Schizosaccharomyces pombe: one gene and its partner. The protein of the gene in region 1 purifies or fractionates together with the protein of each later gene. This does not show direct contact. Each region holds a gene or a part of one and is shown on either strand. Other genes may lie near its edges. The genes, in order: dlp1 and dps1.

Region 1 (10,985 bases):
ATTTAACCAGAAAATAGATTTTAGACAAAATCTATAAAAATATTTGTTAACAGAAACTAGCTTGTGGGGAATGCGTTTAGAATTCCTCAATTACAAGTTGCAGGTAAATTTACCCTAGTGTTTGTTAAGCGGACGTCGAGTTATTAACCATTACTATTGACGTTGGTTAACATGAATAAGCTTGAATTATTGCCAAGTCATTTTCCTGACACTTTCAGATTTGTTTATTTGTTTTTTTCTCAACCTCTGACATTTAGATGCATAATACATGTCAAAGACTTCTTAAATGATTACGATCATCATGCCTTGAAGGAGTTTCCTCAATTTCTTGCCGATAAAGACTATAGTAAAAAATGATCTAGCAAAACTGAGTAAGCATTGTTTATGATTAAAGCATTGCTATTATAACGCTACAGCTTAATGGTAACTACCTTACATTTATTAACATTATAGGTAAGAATATGCTGTAAAAACCGCCAACTCATCTGGTGGTGAAGATAATCCTCGCAGCTAAAACAGAGGGATTCATTCAAGAATTGAATATTGCTAAATCAATTAAATACCGAATCTAACGTTCAACTTATTCTTGCCTGTAAAACTGTTTTCTATTCAACTTACACTGTTTAGTTGGAACAAATCTGCTTTTGGTTACACGTTTGTTCCTTATCTGATCAGATAATTCTTCATTTTAAAGTTCCAAAGACTCCTCTCTTAGATGCTGCACAACGTCAGTCAGATATTCTGTATGCCAAGCCAGACTTGGCTGATGTCATCTGACTAAGTTTTTGGAAATCTATATAAATAGCGATATACGGCCCTTTCTCGCACTCTTTTCACCTAAACAGAGCATTTTTAAAGAAGAAATTTATTAATTCTTGCTGCGATTCTCTTTTCTTTTGCTTGCAAAAATCTCGGTTTAACGTTTATTCCATTCATTTCTATTTAACAATTTTTATCCTGCAACTTTTAAAGTAGCGCCTCTTTGTAGCTTACTCTTTTTCTACTTTCAAGTTCTTTCGTACTCTTAACATTTTCAACATGCTTATCGCTGCTATGGGCCCTAAGATTCCCGTCCCTGCTTATGGGGTTGGTACAGCTTTGTTTAAGAAAGAAAAGGGAGAAATCAATCGAACCATTGTAGATTCGGTAAAGAATGCACTTGCTGCTGGTTTCATTCATATCGACTGCGCGGAAGTATATGGCAACGAAGAGGAAGTTGGGGTGGCTTTGAAGGAAGCTAATGTTCCAAGAAGCAAACTCTTTATTACTTCCAAGGTTATGCATAATGTCGATAACATTCCTGAAGCCCTCAACGAATCTTTACGTAAGCTTGGTACTGACTATTTGGACCTGTACCTTTTGCATAGTCCTATTCCTTTCTATGAAAAGAAAATACCCATTTCTGAAGGTTGGAAAGCAATGGAAACGGCTTTGGGAACCGGTCTTGTCCACTCAGTTGGTGTTTCTAACTTTCGTATTCCCGACTTAGAGGAGCTGTTGAAAACTTCAACTATTACTCCTCGTGTCAACCAAATCGAATTTCACCCTCAAGTATACAAGGCCGCGAAGCCTCTTGTAGAATTTTGCCAGAGTAAAGGAATTATCGTTGAGGGTTATGGCCCTCTTTCTCCCTTGGTTCGTGATGCGCAAGGTCCTGTTGCTGAATTCACTAAATCATTGGAGAGCAAGTACCATGTTTCTGATACTCAAATTCTTCTCAAGTGGGCCTATTCTAAAGGCGTTATACCTATCACTACTACCTCAAAAATTGAGCGTATGAAGGAGTGCTTGAATTTTGATTCTTTCACTCTAGACAAGGCTGACATTGACGAACTTGGTACCTTAGGTGTTCAACATCACAAGCGTACATTTATGAAGCACATGGATGAGTAATACTTTTATGTGATCAAGATAATTTTTATTACGAAGCACTTAGTTATGGACAATCTATTTCAATTACAATCGACTGTTTACATCTTAAACCAAAAATTTTTGTATGCAGTAATTATCGGCGTAGTAATATTGGTCGGGAATTATAACTATGTTGTTACTATTACGACACAAACCGCGAGAATTGAAGAAATACTTACAGTGAAAAGTTTTCCAACAGCGTTACTTACTACTACTACAAAAACAAATATTTATGTAATTCATCATTATATCTTTCAAATATTAAAATCAATTTAATTAATAAAACGCAAAGATTAATTATGGCTACTGTATATTAGCCAATAGTCAGTCATATTCGGTTCATATCAACTATTCAGTAGATGTAAAATGTCCAACTGATGACACTTTAAGCAAAAAGAGAACCATCTATCCAGCTGTTCAACATTTCTAAACTAGCTTCGGGTTGGTTGAAAGGAACCATGTGTCCAGCTTCGTAGAGGCGAAGATAACCAAAGTTTTTGAAAGACTTACCACGACCAGCTTCCTTTCCATTAGGACTCCAAGGCTTCAATTCGGCCTCATAAAACTCACGTTGACCAGCCCACTCAAGTGCGTCGGTCCAAGCTTCATTGCCCATGTAATTGCAAATGTAGTCAGCATCACCGGCATAGATAAGAACGGGTAGGCCAGCTTCTAAGATTGCGGTGACATCGTCACGGAAAGTCTTACGCATCCAGTCACCCTTGAAAAGGAAACCAATGTTTACTTCAGTATTGCATCCCTTGTAATCGTATTCAACTCCCAAAGCTTCTTGAACAAATTCTTGGTTCAAGTAACTCTCAATTGCACCGGTTTCGGGGTAGCATAAGTGCTCTTGGTCACGGCATTCTTCACGAATATCATAAATGTTGAGTCCAGTCTTAGTAAATGGTCCAATCATAGCGTTATTGCAATACAAAGAGGCACCAATGCAAACAGGAGTAAAGCCAGTCTGGTAACAGCCAGTGATTAGCTTAGCGCAGGTATCATAGGCACCAGTAATGCGATCACATTCCTCTTGGGACATAATAGGACCGTAAGGGCTCTCGCAAGCCATTTTTCCGTAAAAGTAGTATTGGACCAAAGGATCAGTCAAACCATTTCCAATCAAGACACTCTTCAAATTGATGTATTGCTTCTCCATTTCATAGCCGCTGGCAACAAAGAAGTTAGCACCTTGGTTATGCTCCATAATTTCCTTGGCAAACTGGGGGATGTAATGGCCAGCATAGGATTCACCAGCAATGTGAAAGTCCAAATGAGCGTACTGAGGGAACTTGGCAAAGAAAAGGTTCAAGAATGCATAAACATCCTTACCAGCCGTAACAGTGTCAAGAACCGAGTCATCTCCGTTGCTGAAACCCGTGTTGATAGGTTGATCCAAAAAGATAACTGAAGCATTGGAGTTCCAACTGTGAGGGTTATATTCGGGTTTAAGAGTCTCAATGTTGATTGAAGAAGGACCTAATTCCATGAACAAACCAGTAAGGGAAGAGCAACCAGGACCACCGTTCAACCACAACACGACGGGATCATTCTCGGGATCATTTCTAGATTCAAAGAACCAGAAGAAAAGATGTCTGTCATCTTCGACATCTAAGTAACCGGTGTATTGCTTAACAGTGTCAATACCAAGTGATTCAGGTTTGGAATCTTTAACGCGAAGAGTGTGATCAGGGAAAGCCTTTAAATTTACATGTTCACCATTCTCTTCTTGTGAAAAAACAGCGTAGGGACGTGAAGAATCAGCAGGTTGAGCATTAGATGGCTTAGCAGGATGACTCTGGTCACGGAAAGCAGTCATAGGATCAATACCTTCAGCCTTGAGCATTTCAAGGTAGGCAAATTGTTCAGGAGTGAGATCACTCAACTCCAAATCATCGTCGAATTCAAATAGGGGGGGAATTGATGAATCCTTTGGGGCATTTTCTTGAATATGTACAGGAATGTTACCATAGTATTCAATACCAAGAGTGTCTAAAAAGCGAGAAAACTCTTCGGCAATTTCTTCAACAGGAACAGAATTGATGAGGTCAGCGAAAGCCTCAATGACCAAAAGCTCATGAGAACTTTGCATGTTTTGCTCAGGACGTTCGTTGTGCTTCTCCTTAGGTCCTTGATGGTGCTCCTTGTCCTTAGGTCCCTTGTGGTGCTCCTTGTCCTTAGGTCCCTTGTGGTGCTCCTTATCCTTAGGTCCCTTATGGTGCTCCTTATCCTTAGGTCCCTTATGGTGCTCCTTATCCTTAGGTCCCTTATGGTGCTCCTTATCCTTGGGTCCCTTATGGTGTTCCTTGTCCTCAGGTCCACGATGATGCTCAGGACCTTCATGCTCCTCAAGCTCATGGTGTTTGAAAGGAGGAGGAGGCATGTGCTCTCCAGGCTCGTGATGCATAGGAGGAGGAGGCATGTGCTCTCCAGGCTCGTGATGCATAGGAGGAGGAGGCATGTGCTCTCCAGGTTCGTGGTGCATAGGAGGAGGAGGCATGTGCTCTCCAGGTTCGTGGTGCATAGGAGGAGGAGGCATGTGCTCTCCAGGCTCGTGATGCATAGGAGGAGGAGGCATGTGCTCTCCAGGTTCGTGGTGCATAGGAGGAGGAGGCATGTGCTCTCCAGGTTCGTGGTGCATAGGAGGAGGAGGCATGTGCTCTCCAGGTTCGTGGTGCATAGGAGGAGGAGGCATGTGCTCTCCAGGTTCGTGGTGCATAGGAGGAGGAGGCATGTGCTCACCGGGCTTGTGGTGCATAGGAGGAGGAGGCATGTGCTCACCAGGCTCGTGATGAGCAGGGAACTCTCGATCCTCATCGTCAAATTCATGATGCTTGGGACGCTCGTCATCAAAGAAAACAGAGTCATCCTCGGGTTTAGGGTGAGACTTCTTTCCCTTTCCCTTAGCATGTTTACCCTTATGGTGCTTTCCTTTTCCTTTGCATTTACCGTGCTTTCTGCGGGGAGCATCCTCATCAGCTGAGTCATGAGGGCGCTTCTCGCGAACGTGTTCATCCTCATCATCGTCAAAGATATTGTCGAGACGATCAGAAACGGTGTGAAGGAAATCACGAGCAGGCTGAAGGAAAGAGTCAAGCTTGTCTTTAAATCCAGGGTGTTCTAAGGCAGTATCATCTTCAAAGTCATCATTAAACTCGTGATGACCCTTGGGGTGATGAGGAGCCTCAGCTTCATCACGCTCGGGAACGGGATTCATAAGAGGAGCAGAGCTTTCCTCTTGCTCACGGATGAAATCCTCCCCAAATTTCTCGTAAAAATCTTTGGGAACGACGATATCACCACCATTTTGCTCAGGAGGAACATAACCGTTAAACTGAGCGGATACGACGCAAGTGAGCAAAAAGTACAAGAAGGTTTGTTTCATTAACATCTTGTTTCAATGTACAGTATAGAAAGGAGAGAAACAAAAGGAAATGAAATATTCGTACAACAAGCTAACCAAATAGACCGAACTTCTCAAACAATCAATTGATAGATACAAATCTGTATGTACTGGATTAAAAAAGAAATTGCAAATTAGCCAAATCAGATAACTGTTAGGCAAAATGAGCTATATGGATAGATTAAAAAGAAAAATAAACAATGAGAAAAAGAATGTATTTAACTCAATGTCGATTGCGAAGCCTCACGTCTTACAGTGTGATTACAAGCACTAAAGGCAATGTGGATATCGCAATAAATAACTAGACAGAAAACCACAAAAAGTAGCAAATTCTTAAACAAACGTATTTACGATCGTTTTGCTGCTTTTCCCTCTTCAGATCACTTTACTGGTTCTAGGGTTCGATGGCGTTAATGTGTGCTTGGTTAAGGAGAAAAGTAAGCGGCAGGCAACAATCGCTATATATATGAAGGGTTAAGCATAAGTCCAGAAGCGTGACGCAGACGCCTCGCATGAATCATCATGTTCTAAGCCCCTTCGCAATCCTCCTTAGATATCGCTGCAAATACTTTACAATGTCTTTATACGCTAATAACGAAATATAATGAAAAAAGTAGCTTCGCTTGCAGTTAGCAAACAGGAAAATCACATCTGATAATATTTATTAAACAAAAAGAAAGGTAAACATGTGGATCAAGTTATTCTTAGTTGAATTATTGGATTCAATTAAACCTTAAACAGACAGTATAAAATATAAAAACACGCTCTTGTTATTAATTGTTTTGCAGTCATCAAGTACTTGACTAACTCTTTGCAGAAGCAATGGATATTTATCTTTGGAGAGTAAAATTGAGAAGCAAAGTACACAAAACTCAAGGTAGCAAATCTATAATGCCTAGACAATTATCTTGTATTGCTAGTTTGTGAAACAATGAATATGCATTCGCTTTATTGTGACTAATTCGTCCTGGTACGAATTGAAAAAGTAACTGGCCAAGCGGTTTCCGTGACAAAAATGGGTCAAAATACACAACATTATGTGATTTAGCTCCACTATACTAGGGCTATTCTTCTATAACCCGAGAACGTTGCTCGGCAAGTATACCGACATGATATATATACCTTATAATGTGTAGCAAAACTGGAAGGAGCGAGGGCGAAGATGAAAGCGATACAAAAAAAAACTATAAATAAATATATATATATAAAGAAATGTCAGCAAAGATCGAGTGTCTAGCAAGTACAAAAGTTTGTTTCTTCCGGTTTGACTACTTCAAACGAGGGCTTAGAAGTGGCTATGCTGTTTGTTTTACAGTTTCCCAGCACTGGAAATTAAAAAAAAGGGCAAAACAATACAATAGCGGCTGGCAAAACGGATGGAATTGGTCCTTTGTCTTGCACGAGGAAAAAACATGACAAGTAAAAAAAAAATTTGCAATTGGGTTTAAAAGTTAAGAGACAAATGCCATTTATTAGAACAATTAAATTTTATAAAAAAAGAATAGAAAAATAATTGTTAAAGATAGAATATAGCTAATGCATGATACAATAGAATTTGAACCTCTTAGAATATTGGTTGCTGATTCCAAAGGTGAAAAGCAGCTGCTAAAATGCCATTCCTAGTGCATTGATAAAGATTTTAATTTAGAAAAACTTAGTTCTATTTTTTCTTTGATTTTGAAATTTAAAGCATAGCAATGAGTAGCATAATATGGTGTTCGATATTTTTAAGGGATCTGTCTAGCAGCTGTGAGATATTCTTGAGCATGGTGTAACAACCATTGCTTTTCATGGGGAACTAATAGTAGAATTTATTAGTATCAAAATCAAACTGATAAATGAGAGAAACTGCTTACTATATGCACGAAAATGCCGATCGTATACCAAAGGAACGCAATCATAGATCTCGTCGAAAAAGTTGAAAAACCTTGAGACATCAATAGATTCCTTTTCGCTGACTGCTAAACATAAACGTCAGTCTAATGCAAGTTTTCATACGGTAAAGCTGAGTTTTCAATCCGGGACTTGGGAAAACATAGTTCATCGTCACTGAAATTTCCAACCAAAAAAGAAAAACAAAAATCGTACGTACCTTGATTTGTTTGGTAAACACCGACTATATCTAATATCACGTTAACAAATGATTTCCAATAAGTAGCGCATCCTCTACAAGGAGGACGAAAGATAATATTCATACACTCAATAGCAGAACGCAAGCTGCAATGGTCGCTCCATATACGAGTTTTTGGATCCGACTGATTAGGAGTTAGTGAAATCTTTAATTATCCTACAATCTAATGACATACTCCTTGTTGTATTAATAAAATGCTGTAAGCAAAATCTAGTTAGCGAATAGCCCTTGCATAGTGTACATAAGTGTCTTGAAGCTTTTCTGGCATTCGGGGAACATACATATGAGATTCTGCTGGTGGAGGCGACATTACGAGCCAAGTATTTTGAAGTATCTTCTGTTTTTATCGAGCAAGGATTAAGACCGCCTCTCAAACACACCGTCTAGCTTAATATCACCCTATTTTTATTTTCAATTTATCTGTTTGAAAATTATTTGCTATTGTCACACAAATTATTGTCAGAACGACTCTTTGTACTTTCAGGTGGGTAGCACAGTTATTGAGTAGCGATTTCGCTTTCCTTCTACAGTAGCATCCGTCACGCACTCTATCAGTTCGTTTACTTTGCAGTTCTCACAATTTAATATACTTCAAATATTATAATTATTTTTAGAAGTCATCTTCCAATCTTACTATATACTTTATCTAACTCGCTGATTTGAATAACTCGTAACACCTCTTTACCCATATCTCTTTCCTTCGAATTGCTTAGTGAAAGACCCTTTCTTTCTATTTTGTTTATTTTTCTGACTCTTTTTTTTATTTCTTTACATGTTGACTTTAAGAAGTGCTTGTCAGTTGACAACAAAAAACCTGGGACTTCATAAATGCATCTCCAAAACGGTCATTTCCGCTCTAGGAAGGAGAGGCTATCATAGTGAAAATTACGAAACCTCTAAGATATCCGGAAAGAAGGCTTTAATTTTAGAAAATGCTCTTGAACATGTTCCTCAACTGGGGTTCACGGAAGATGCAATCGTGCAAGGTGGTCAGGCCCTTGGCTATAGTAATCTCTCCAAGGCCCTCTTTCCTTCTGGTCCAATGGATTTGATTTCGTACTTTTTCCTGAAGCAGCGCTACGCTCTTAGTTCATTAAAGCCTCATTTGACCACTATCCCCGAAACATCTGGACGTGTTGTCCAGCTTATTTGGTCTCGTCTGCAAGGAAATAGGGATATTGTTCAGCATCTTCCGCAGATGATTGCAATTTGTACATACCCTTCAAACTTGCGAAAATCATTATCCTCTCTGGCTGAACTGTCAGATGAGATTCTTTACCTCGCGCAAGATAAGTCAGCCGATTTTCAATGGTACACGAAACGTGCTGCTATCTCTGCCATTTACTCTGCATCTGAGTTATTTATGAGTCGTGATACTTCTCCTAATTTTGAGGCGACTTATAACTTTGTTCAACATCGCATTCAACATGCAAAAGCCTTAAATGACTTACGCAACGATGTCTTGGAATGGGGTTCCTTTCAGCTGAATGCTGTGAGATCAATCCTTCGTTCAAGGGGAATTTAAAATTCACTGCTACTCCTTTTGCTTGTTGGTTTAACAAATCAGCTTGATTCAACTTTACGTTATGCAAGAAATAAATGCAATTTCATTTCCTACAATATTTAAGTTTTTTTGGCTAATTGTTTTCTCCATATATCGGTAGTTATTGTTGAATGTACTCTTTGATTCGAAACTTCATTTGAACAGTGTTTACCTTAAAAAAATCTATAGAAAAATCCTTATATATTCACGGGTTGATAACAAATTAACTTCAGTAAAACATTTAATAGAAACACACACTTTGACTAATGCTACCTTTACTACTTGTATATTCTGTTTTTTTACTACCTTGAACTTACTATTCTGACTCTTCCTGAGGTAACCTGTGACTTTGAAATAATTAGCTAAAACTGACAAGACACAGGCGTAGTTAAAGAACTCCAAAAATGAAAACATAGTAGCAATCAAAGCATCCCACTATTTTTTGTCTCTCGTTTCATTAGCGTTGTAAATTACTGATACCCTACTATACCTCTACAAGGCCTTTGTCATCTTTTTACTCAAGTGTGAAATCATCACTTATTGTATGAAGGATGAGCTTTCCGTTCGCTAGTTTGCTGAAAAGGCCTTCTGCAATAAGCTCTCTATTATCTTTAAAAAAACCTGGTTCCTGGTCTTCCATTCTGCTAAAAGCTGTAGGGGTTTTATCACGAGATTCCCGTTGGCATTCTGACTTATTAAAAATGCTTACAGAAGAAATGGATTCTTTAAATGGTCAAATTAATACGTGGACAGATAATAATCCTTTATTAGATGAAATTACGAAGCCATACAGAAAATCTTCAACTCGTTTTTTTCATCCGCTTCTTGTACTTCTAATGTCTAGAGCATCAGTAAATGGGGATCCACCGAGTCAGCAACTATTTCAAAGGTACAAACAACTTGCCCGTGTAACAGAATTGATTCATGCTGCCAATATAATTCATATTAATATTGGAGAAGAACAAAGCAACGAACAGATTAAACTTGCAACGTTGGTTGGAGATTATTTACTCGGAAAGGCGTCTGTTGATTTAGCACATTTAGAAAACAACGCTATTACAGAAATTATGGCTTCTGTTATTGCAAACTTAGTTGAAGGGCACTTCGGAAGCCGACAAAATGGCTCTGTTGGTTTGTCAAACGAACGAACCATCCTTCTGCAATCAGCCTTTATGCCAGCAAAGGCATGTTTATGCGCAAGCATATTGAATAACTCATCACAATACATTAATGATGCGTGTTTCAATTATGGAAAATTTCTAGGCTTATCGCTGCAACTGGCCCATAAGCCTGTATCTCCTGACGCCCAAGTTTTGCAAAAGAATAATGACATTTTGAAAACATATGTTGAGAATGCCAAGAGCTCATTGTCTGTTTTCCCCGATATAGAGGCTAAGCAAGCTCTCATGGAAATCGCTAATAGTGTTTCGAAGTAATCGACAGGTATTGTATCCTGGATTAATATTAGGGTGGCTCATGCATGCTCGTGCAATCGTAACAAATATGTCTTTCTTTTACGAATTTTAACGCTTCAATATAAATCATATTTTTCCTCATTATCCTTTGCTTGAGTCATTGAATTTAAAAGCATTAGTTTTAGACTTTTGACCCCTCCAGGAATTTAAAGATACCAAAAATTTATTAATATAAAGAGCTTATCGTTATTCGATACTAATTAATGTTTGAGGTAAGCATTTTAACAATCTCTCTTTGTTTGAAATCATAGTCGCAGAATACCTCTAGTTGTAGCTTTGTACACTGTATGTATCGACTGAGCACACTATTGAATTTAGACCATGGCATTTTTTTCTTATGCTGAGAAACATAAATTAGCCTCTTTCGTATTTTGTGTTTTGATAAACGTTGTAAAGCTTCCATCTCTTTTTCGTTATGACTTCCCCAGTCTTGGAGAAATTTAGTAAAGTTGATATGATCGATTGGTTCCTGCTCTAGAAAATGAAAGGCCATCTAGAATACATCAAACATCATCTGTT
Region 2 (10,985 bases), on another chromosome or scaffold:
TCATAGATTTCAAGAAATATGGAGATGCAATCATTGATGACGCTTGGAACTTTCAATGCAACGTCTCCAAGGCATTTAATCGTTTGTTTCACAAATTCTAGTTCAACTTCGGAAACGTACGCTCGAAGCTCGGAAATGGTCTCGTTAATGTTTTCGTCACATGCAAGCATTGTAATTATCTTTAGTTTCTCCATTTTAATATAAAGAGGATCATTATATTTGCAGAAAAAAACCCGAGTTTTGACATCAAAAATAGAAGGCCTCTTTTGTAATATTAAATTAATGTTCCGTAAGGCTACATACTGGATTTCTGAGTCCGTAGAAAGTAGCGTCAAAAGAGGAGGAGCCATTTTTTTGTACAGAAAGTCTGTAAAGTCACTGGAAAAGAGAGGGATATGTACCATTATGACTTTCACAGCGGACAAAACGACACCACTATTTGCATGTTGGAATTGAGGAACCACCCTTTCACAAACATATTCAGCTTCCTTGATATCAGAAGTGCGAAATCTAGCTAAAGAATTCAAAATAGTAATCCGACCCCACTCATTACACTCACTCAAAGCAACCATTAGCCTGTCTGTCATCGTGTAAACTACATTAAAATATCCCTTTTCAGGGTCCTGATCATGAATTTCAGCAAGTGAGCGGACTGCATTAGCCACAACCACAGGATTCGGATCAGATACCAACGCCTGCAATTGTTCGATGAAACCATTTGATGCACAGTATTCTCGATCAAGGTCATACATCTTTACAACACAAACCGCTGCAGCCTTACGAACATAGGGATGCTCATCCTTCAAAGCTTTTCGCAACGGATCTGCCAAATAGCCAATGATTTTATTTACCCGAATGCAACCCATAGTTCTAATTGCCAGAGCTCGTAAAGTAGGATTATATTCCTCAGAATCCTTTACAAAAGTATTAACGGCTAAAATACAAAGATCAGGGTGTGTTTTGGCATAGTTAATTAGATATAAATAAACCAGTTTTTTCAAGGTGATATCGCGAGTAGCTAGGTTCTTTAAAACATCGGGAAACAGACTAGACACATCCTTGCCAACAGTCATTGCGGCAATAGTCCGTTTCACAGCATCAATTCTCTCGTAGGCATACTGAGAAACTAGTCCCTTTTGTAATTCACTTGTTTCGCTTTTTTTAAATGCCTTAAAACGGCTCGATTGAAACAACTTTGGAACCATTCGGTACTATTGTATAATTCCGCTCTTTATGTAGCTCTTTTAAAGGTGGTAAACGTCCTAAGGTCAAAAACACGTTTACATATATAAAGCAGTGGTTCAATAATCATGTCAAGTCAAACCCATTCGGTGAGAAACACCCACTCCCAGAAGTAACAAAGGTGACAATATCGAATACTGAAATCCAATTTCTATATATTCATGATTTCATTTTCAACCTGCAATGCTTTAAACGCTACTATTATGACCTTTAAATAAATTTTAAAACATTTAATTCAGTATACAAACAAGAGGTTGAAATGTTATTTCAATAAAAGCTATAAGTTAATTGCCGTAAAAATGCGATTCAAGTAAAGCAATACCCTTTTCCAAACATTAAATAACTAATAATTATTGTTCAAAATTGGAGAATAGTGAAGGGAAAAAAAGTAGCCCAATAGGTTGAGGCTGTATGTAAACGAAATAAATATGACGATAAATGGAAAAAATAAAATAAAGAGAATTGATGGAAAATACAAAAGGGGAGCATTTGTAAAAGGCGCTGTCAAGTCGGCTATGATTTAAAATGTCGTTTATAGCGATAGTCAAATCACGAATACATTTTAGTTGTTGTAGGAAAGACGAAAATAAAATGAAGGTAAACAGAAATTAAAATTCGTAATAAGCCAAGTTTATGCAAAAGAAAGTTATTGAAACCACATGAAAATCAGCATCCACGATTCAATCCCTAAATGCACGGTAATTCTCATAATATCCAGAAAAACGATACCCAAATGATTCGTTAAGAAACATTAAAGGATAAAATTAAAAAGAGAGAAAGGAAGTTTGAATAAATTAAAGGATACCCTGCCTTTTTGATGCAAAAGAATATATGATTTCTTGAAAATATTAAAGGTAGAATACTCTACAAAGTTGTTTTAACGTTGCGAACCAAATTGTTTATTCCACTCTTCGTAACGATGAATACCCTCTTGTGAGACACTTGGACGAATAGTACGAAGGCTAGCTTTAAAATGATTCAAGCTGATCGGAGGTATCATCTCTGCACTGGTGGTAAGTAGAGCATCACCCAAGTTTCTTAAAGGACCCATTGCTGCGTCTTTGGCTAAAGCAGTGATATCAGAGCCTGAATAACCTAGATGGCGTTAGTTAACTAACCAATCGAATTATTTATATACATACCTTCGGTAAGATTGACAAGTTCTTCCAGATCCTCCTCCGTCAAACAGTGTACTTGATTATGAAGCAAATGAGAAAGATGTTTATATCTTGTTTCTTTTTCAGGTAACGGAATATAGGTTCTTTTAACGAATCGGCGTCGAGCAGCCTCATCAATACACCACGGAAGATTTGTAGCTGCCAGCACCAAAACACGGGGAGAGTGACCAGTTTGCTTGTCCGGAGCCGCATTAGTTAACGAAGACCATTGAATTAAAAATTCTGTTTTTAATCTACGAGAGCTCTCGTGCTCATTACCGCTGTCATTACGAGCGGAAAGAATGGAATCAATTTCATCAACAAAGATAACGCTACATGTCTGGCGCTTCGCAACTTCAAAAAGGGCTCGAACCAACTTTTCAGAATCACCAAGCTAAATCAAGGTTAGTTAAGAATGGGGTTAAATATAAAACTTGCTTACATATTTCGAGGTTAATGATGAAGCCGAAATCGAAAAAAATGTGGCTTTCGCTTCGGTCGCAACAGCACGAGCAAGCATGGTTTTGCCGGTGCCAGGGGGGCCAAAAAGAAGCATGCCTTGTACGGGTTCACGCAATCCTTGGAAAAGTTCCGGGCGTAAAAACGGATAAATGACTGCCTCTTTCAAGGAATTTTTAGCGTCATCTAATCCGGCAATGTCCGACCAGTAGACAGGTTCATGGTTAGAAATAATTTCATTCATAATAGCATATTCAAAATCACTTGAAGGAGTGGTCTGTTGAAGAGGTTCAGTTTGTTGAGTAGTACTAGCTGAGATAGTTTTTGACACAATTGTCTTAGAATCAGCGGTTGCCGGAGGAGATGTAGCAGGTGATCCGGCTGTGTCAGCGGAAGACGGTCGAGTGGAAGAACCAAGGGTATCATGAGAAGAGTTTAAGTATGGTTTATATGGGCTAGGATGCTTGCGCGATTTTCCATCGCTGGATGAATGCGATGCAGACGTAAGGGGGACGGCAGGAACATGGAGTGGAGGAATTGGCGCATGGAAGGAGAGGGGAGTGCTATTGTTAGCATTTTGATTGTTTGACACCTGAATAGAAGGGCTAGATACCGAATTGGAAAGCGTCGGTTTAGTCGTAGACTGACTTTTCATAGCGGTAGGAAAAGTGGTGGAATTCATGGTAGCAGAACGACCTGTATCAGAAGAAAGAGCAGAAGCAGAAGCGGCAGCACTCTTAGAAGCAGCAGCAATGGCCGAAGCAGAAGAATTGAAAGAGGCAAAGGGATCTTCGGGTTTGAGGGGTGGAGAACGGTTTGGCTTAGAGGGTGCCAGATAAGAAGGTGCATCTCCATAGGAAGAAGAAACAATGGATGAAGTGGAGGTAGAAGGAGGCGAATGCTTGGAATATATTTGCTTAGGCGTAGATAAATTTACCTCCGACTGCGCACCTCTCGTCTGTCTGTACATCATCCTAGTAGTCATGGGGGTATACGCAGGTGTTTGAGATCTTACTGGACGTAAGGGGTGAAGATCAACGGGCGCCTTCTTTGAAAGTTTGGCTGCAAGTTGATAATTTTGCCTTTCCATTTCACTTTCCAAAATCGTCTTACGCAGCTTGCTTGCCTTGCTCAAACAGTTGTCATAGAGCCCGTTCCAAGAACATGCCTCTGCGCCCGTCAAAGGTCCCAATCCCATGCGATCGCGAGCTGCCGACGACTTCTTCATCTCCTCTAAAACCTTGCAGTAACTCACATACGCACCAGCCCAATCCCTATTTCCTTCACACAATAATGCTCTTGATGCTATCGGTAGTATTCTATCCAAGTCTGAGTCCATTTTCCGCAGTCGACTCGTCAATGGCTTTTTTGCTTTTGGCAAGTTCAAATGTCAAAAGTGCTGTCTTGTCGTTAAAAATCCCATAGAATGTTCGAAGTAACGCTGTTACTTTTCAGCCACTGGTTTTCTTTCATCTCTTCAAAAGCTATTTGATAAGGAATTCGTATTGGAGAAAATCATTTTATTCATAGATTCAATAGATGAGTAAATATCTTTCTTTCACACTCTTTTTTTTTTCCCGCTAATTCGCAAATCCGGAAATTTGTTTACAACAAAAAACGTATTATTAACGATATTAATCATTTCATCGCTATGCTAGTAGTGTGGATTAGAGAGCACTTTAAAATCGAGCGCCTTCGACTGGCTGAAAAACAGAAGCCAAGCGGTTTTCGATGAGAACAAATTTGCGAAAATTTAAGTATCTTTTGATATACCTACAAATTCTAAAAAAAATTTCTCTAGTTGAACTTAACGCTCAAATAGAGCTTTTTTTAAGAATACTTGAGGCCCGGGAGATGTAAACAGATCAGCTATGTCTGAAAGGAACGGGATGGCACTTAATGTTGATAAATTTTTTATTTTTTAAATTCTTGAAGTGAATGGTGAAAAAAGTCGGGCGCCTAATCGTTAAAAGCCTTCAAAAGTCAAAATGTGATAAAACAAATATGAATGTAACGTTTTGTACTACAATGACAATAATCTTAGCAGGCGAATCGTTTTGTAGACTAGAAAAGTACGTAATTTATTTTTATTAAATGATCCTACAAATACTAAAACTTGTAAAAATGCTTTTAAGCAATTTCTGATCAATTAAAATTTCACGCATGTCAAACCATTTAGAAATGTTTATGTTGTTAAAGCAGTGTTACAAAGCTATTAAAATACCTAAAAAATATCAACAATGTATTCGTAAATTCCTAGAACCAATAATTGTTCAAGTAAGATGAGAAACTCTTGGAAGATCAACACATATAGAGGATTCCCTGAAGCTGTTATATTAACTTCGCCAAAAAAAAATTAGTTGTAGTATAAGATTCATTTACTTATCTAAATATTCTGCTTTTGAGTATTCAACCAAGTAGCACTTCTCCCATCGAATATTGAAGCAATTTGGAAGTATAAATTGTTTTGATTATTGTGTCGTATAAAAAATGATACACGGGAGAGATGCATATGCAAATAGATCTGTGAATTTTATTGTTAACTGATTTGATGTATAAGCTGTTGTAAGTTTTGATAATGAATTTGGCCTCTGAGGAAGATGCTCAATATCCTGCTTGACTCAACAGAATTCTTCAGAAAAAATACTTAAGATCAGAATGGTATGAAGAAAAAACGATAATTAAAAAATGTTTTGTTTGTTTACAAACTATTTAATGATTCTTCCGTTCTTTGAAATAAACTTATCTGATCAAAGCGACGTCATATCTAAGCGAAATCACGGTAAATACCATGATATACAAACCATCCCAACTCTAACTTCATCATTTAGTTACTTTTGAAAATAAGAAATGAAATGATTCAGTATGTATATTTAAAACATATGAGGAAATTATGGAGTCTTGGAAAAGTCCGTTCGACTGTTCTTCGGTTTTCTACTACGAACCGCAATGCTTCACATTTAATTAAAAACGAGTTGGAACAAATCTCACCAGGGATTCGTCAAATGCTGAATTCAAATTCAGAATTTCTTGAAGAGTGTTCTAAATATTATACCATTGCTCAAGGAAAACAAATGCGTCCTTCTCTTGTTTTGCTGATGTCCAAAGCTACAAGCTTGTGCCATGGTATTGATCGGTCCGTAGTGGGCGACAAATATATTGATGATGATGATTTAAGATCATTTTCGACGGGTCAAATTCTTCCTTCTCAATTGAGATTAGCACAAATAACCGAGATGATCCATATAGCAAGTTTGCTGCATGACGATGTGATTGATCACGCTAATGTCCGTAGAGGCTCACCTTCAAGCAATGTTGCTTTCGGTAATCGACGGTCAATCCTTGCGGGTAATTTCATCCTTGCACGGGCTTCGACTGCTATGGCCCGCCTTCGAAATCCCCAAGTTACGGAGTTGTTAGCTACAGTGATAGCAGACTTGGTTCGAGGTGAGTTTTTGCAGCTAAAAAATACTATGGATCCTTCATCTTTGGAAATAAAACAATCAAATTTTGACTATTATATTGAAAAAAGTTTTTTGAAAACAGCCAGTTTAATTTCCAAAAGCTGCAAGGCTTCTACAATCCTCGGACAATGTTCTCCTACTGTAGCAACAGCTGCTGGAGAATACGGTCGATGCATTGGTACTGCTTTTCAACTAATGGATGACGTGTTGGACTATACGTCGAAAGATGATACTTTAGGAAAGGCGGCTGGTGCAGATTTGAAGCTAGGGTTGGCTACAGCTCCCGTCCTCTTTGCATGGAAAAAGTATCCAGAACTTGGTGCAATGATTGTGAATAGATTCAATCATCCTTCTGATATCCAACGGGTAAGAGAAGCTGAAGTTTTATTTATTTATTTGATTTCCTTTTCTCTATCGTTAATTTTCAATTGCTAACATATAATTTAGGCTCGTTCTTTGGTTGAGTGCACTGATGCTATCGAGCAAACCATCACTTGGGCAAAAGAATATATCAAAAAAGCCAAAGATTCCCTTCTGTGTCTCCCTGATTCACCTGCAAGGAAGGCACTTTTTGCGTTGGCTGATAAAGTAATAACGAGAAAGAAGTGACGAGTTTAGTACGCTGCATCTTTAACTATTAGATAAAGGCCTCTTTTTCTTATTCTCGAAAAATTTAAAACAATTAGGTTTAATTATATATACGACTTTGGTAGACCGAGTTGAATTACCGCTCTTAATAGAGCAGTGAAAATATTACTAATATGCGCTGCCTTGATTGGTTTTTCTTCCATAAATGATTTCAGGTTATTACAAAGTGAACGACAACTGCCAACGAATGCAATGATTTTATAACGACATTGCAAGCCACTAATGATACTGTCTATAAAAATTGGACTTCAATAAATAAACCAAGCACTTCGTAATAACTATTCTTGACTAGTGTTATAGTCTTTGTGATCTCGCTGCTCAAATGTCAGATGCTGATTTTGGCTCCAATTTTCTGTTTACGTTATAACAACTATCATGTAAGTTTGTCCATTACTTATATCTGGTGAAAAAGGCTGCATAACTATGGTAATACTTTTTGTCAGATCTAAAATTAGGAATCAGATTTTATCCGGTAGCTTGCTGTGCTTTCCCTGGACTGCAAAATTATTTTCACCTGTATTCTTTTACTATACCTTTTTGATAGCCTATAAACGTTGAGCGTTGAGCTTTTAAACTTACCAAAACTACAGGGCCTTCCTTCTTTCCCCAATGCTCGAATGAACTTTCGTTAGTATCAACGTTTCCTTTTGTTTAGTACCCCTATAACAATATATATAACGACCTTCTTTTTGAATAAACCATAGCAAAAGCTAAAAGTTTGGATGTATTAATGAACATTGTACACCTCAGTCAAACAACAGTAATTTGACTATTAGATGATGATCGTAATTACTATGTTAACATATATCTGATGCCTCAAAAGTGCAAGAAAATGAATAAATTTCAAATTAGTAAATAATTGACTATCGGAAATACTTAACAATATATAGATCCAGTTTTTGGTTCAAATAATTAATATTATTATTAATAATATAATCGTGAATTGCATCCTGTTGCTAGTTTAAAGCCCTTTGTTACCACAATGAAGTTTAAATGGGTTTAAAAAATCCTTAAAAAAATAGATTTTATTGATCATCATGCAATGTCATTAGAGTAAAAAGTACGGACGAATGTATATTTTTTTTATTTACCATAATTTGGTACACTTTGATATACTAATGTAGGTACAGTGCTTTCAAGAAGAGCTCAAGTAACAATGTCAGTGGTTACCTACTAATTATATTTTTTCCATTAACAGAACCATCTAATAGCAAACCTTTTTGAATGTCAGTTTAATTCAATATACATGTATGTGAATTTTGTGCTCATAATTAAACATATTAAACATAATAAATAACTAATCTCGAAAATTCAAACATCCGCAATACAATTACAAAGTTTAAAACACGCTGATAAAAAACTTCTTAAATGAATCCTGTATCCGTAAAGGGTCAATGTTTTATTCTAGAAGCCCACATCCGCTTAATCGTCTATCCAAAATTTTTGGAACGGGTTAAGCTTTAAGCAGTTAAACTTGCTCATAAACTAAAAATTTATCTCTCTCATATAAACGCTTTGGATTTTGGTATTATTGTGAGATGCCAGAGTCACTTAAGCTTGTTTAATCAAATTATTGCTACGCTTTGTCGTAAGGGAATATGTTCGATGGATGATTGCTACTCCCAACATTTATCCAATATGTTTTATCTCTTCTGATTTACTCATGCGATATTGCAAGATAATCGGCCTATATTCTGTAAGCATATTACATGCTTCGTTATAGCCGATTCTTACCGGTGATGTTTCAGATCTTCATGGGCTTCTAGGCCGTAGTTGTAGCGATACATTGTCAACTTGTTCCGTCGGGACATAATGGAAATCAATGATGAGGCTGGCTCAAAACTATGTTTTTTTAAATAGAAAAGTGTATAATTTTCCTGGGTGATTTATTTTTTTTTGGCGTTTCTTTTTTTGGGAGAGTTGGCTTTTGAGTGTAGAATACTCCAGTTTAACTTGGCCATTTATTCTGTCGCTTGGATCATAGTGATACCTTTAATCAGCTTAAACTTCATTCATTTTCTATATTTAGATATTCACTGCTCTGAGCAGATTAACTCATTGGTATTCTCTGTTCCTTATTTCGGTAAATTCTAAGCTCATTTCAGCTCCCACATTGCTCAGGGATTTCGCTTGAGATCTGATATATACAAAGAGTTATACTTAGCGAACATTCACCCATTACACGTATTTGATCGTTTGTATTTACTCTTTGTTGTTCGTCGTCGCCAATCGGTTTCATGAATATATTTTGAAAACAAACTTTCTTGCCTAATCAAAGGATCAACCGATCTGTGCCAACTTTAATGGTGTCTAAGAATGGTCGAAAAAACTTCACCGATTTTAATAACCCTTTGTATATTTTTGTTAATTCCAATATCAAGTGCTCTTCCTTTTCAGACTTTCGAGGAAAGCCTGAAATTGAAAAGTAATATTTCGCATACTGGATCTTTTTTCGCTAATCTTTCGCAATCATATTCTTCAACTAGCATAATACATTCAGTGAGTTCTCCTGTTGATTGCTCTTTGGACGTTAATAACCAAATTAATACTATTAATATCACCTCAGTTTCAGCTGGGACTAATGAATTGTTTTTACCTACTTTATCCCATGCTCACGCTAATGACCGGGAAGCATCTCTTTTTTTTCCATACACAGACATAAGATATAACGGCTTCCCAGAACCCTCCAATACGGACAGTACGAGCATATTATCCTTTAATACCATTCGTTTAATCCCGTCCACTAATGTCATAAACACTTCACATTATAAAGGTTTTAATCGCTATCCAACGATATCATCAACAGTCAAAGTAGGTAAACGCGCAGCGACCGCTTCATTCTCCTATACCAACGTTTCGTCTTCCGTAATAGCGACAGCGTATACTTCTGCTTCTTCAACAATTTTATCTTCGCCATCAGTTGAACAATCTACTCCAAGTATCATTACTCAAACTGAAAGCTCTACAACTACTGAAGGCAGCAGTGTCGCTTCTTCTGAAAGTACTATTGCCAATTCCGATCAGTCATCTTTTATAACGTATGAATCGACTCAAAATCCCACTGCGAATAAAACGGACGCATCGCAACAAAGTACAGAGTCGACAAGTAGTTCTGCAAGTGCCTATTCGTATATCACAACACTTCAGACAGCCACAACAGCTCAACAAACCACTTCTGAAAATACCTACTCAACCTCCGGACCCAACTTGACAACATCAAACACTTCACCCCAAATTTCTAGCACCATCTCCTCAAGCTCTTTCATAGTTGAAAGCCCATCCGTCGCGCTAAGTACATCATCCACAACCACAATAACAAATGCATCAACACCCGCAGCCAACACTATAATCAGCAGAAGCTCAAAGCCAACCGATACGACCAACAGCATATCGTTCGCAAACACTACTCCCGAAAACACATCCACACAAATTACTAGTCCAACTGCTGTGAACAGTTCTACACCAATTACTAGTTCTAGTGTTCTGAACAGTTCCACACCAATTACTAGTTCTAGTATTCTTAACACATCCACACCAATTACTAGTTCTAGTGTTCTGAACAGTTCCACACCAATTACTAGTTCTAGTATTCTGAACAGTTCCACACCAATTACTAGTTCAACTGTTCTGAACAGTTCTACACCAATTACTAGTTCAACTGCTTTGAACACATCCACACCAATTACTAGTTCTAGTGTTCTGAACAGTTCCACACCAATTACTAGTTCTAGTGTTCTCAATAGTTCCACACCAATTACTAGTTCAACTGTTGTGAACACATCCACACCAATTACTAGTTCAACTGTTGTGAATAGTTCTACACCAATTACTAGTTCAACTGCTTTGAACACATCCACACCAATTACTAGTTCTAGTGTTCTGAACAGTTCCACACCAATTACTAGTTCAACTGCTTTGAACACATCCACATCAATTACTAGTTCTAGTGTTCTGAATAGTTCCACACCAATTACTAGTTCAACTGTTGTGAACACATCCACACCAATTACTAGTT

What was found.
Region 2: the proteins of dlp1 (region 1) and dps1 purify together in Schizosaccharomyces pombe (affinity purification with western blotting, with the first as the bait; one study listed by BioGRID). This does not show direct contact.

What each region holds. Positions count from the first base shown.
Region 1 is NC_003424.3:4,059,214-4,070,198, forward strand, and holds dlp1 (decaprenyl diphosphate synthase subunit 2 Dlp1), read left to right. Parts: upstream 1-9,385; 5' UTR 9,386-9,542; coding exon 9,543-10,427; 3' UTR 10,428-10,662; downstream 10,663-10,985. Other genes in the region: SPOM_SPAC19G12.09 (NADH/NADPH-dependent indole-3-acetaldehyde reductase AKR3C2), read left to right, coding at 1,039-1,893; cpy1 (vacuolar carboxypeptidase Y), read right to left, coding at 2,297-5,305; protein erh1, read right to left, coding at 7,045-7,115, 7,174-7,278, 7,410-7,439, 7,515-7,572, 7,624-7,645, 7,730-7,758; ubiquinone biosynthesis protein Coq9, read left to right, coding at 8,221-8,973; protein Poz1, read right to left, coding at 10,663-10,959. UniProt on the Schizosaccharomyces pombe protein: Supplies decaprenyl diphosphate, the precursor for the side chain of the isoprenoid quinones ubiquinone-10.
Region 2 is NC_003423.3:678,430-689,414, forward strand, and holds dps1 (decaprenyl diphosphate synthase subunit Dps1), read left to right. Parts: upstream 1-5,687; 5' UTR 5,688-5,713; coding exon 5,714-6,688; exon of another isoform or gene 6,689-6,769; coding exon 6,770-6,931; 3' UTR 6,932-7,253; downstream 7,254-10,985. Other genes in the region: AP-1 adaptor complex beta subunit Apl2, read right to left, coding at 1-1,205; knk1 (AAA family ATPase), read right to left, coding at 2,120-2,337, 2,385-2,793, 2,842-4,197; SPOM_SPBPJ4664.02 (glycoprotein), read left to right, coding at 9,287-10,985. UniProt on the Schizosaccharomyces pombe protein: Supplies decaprenyl diphosphate, the precursor for the side chain of the isoprenoid quinones ubiquinone-10.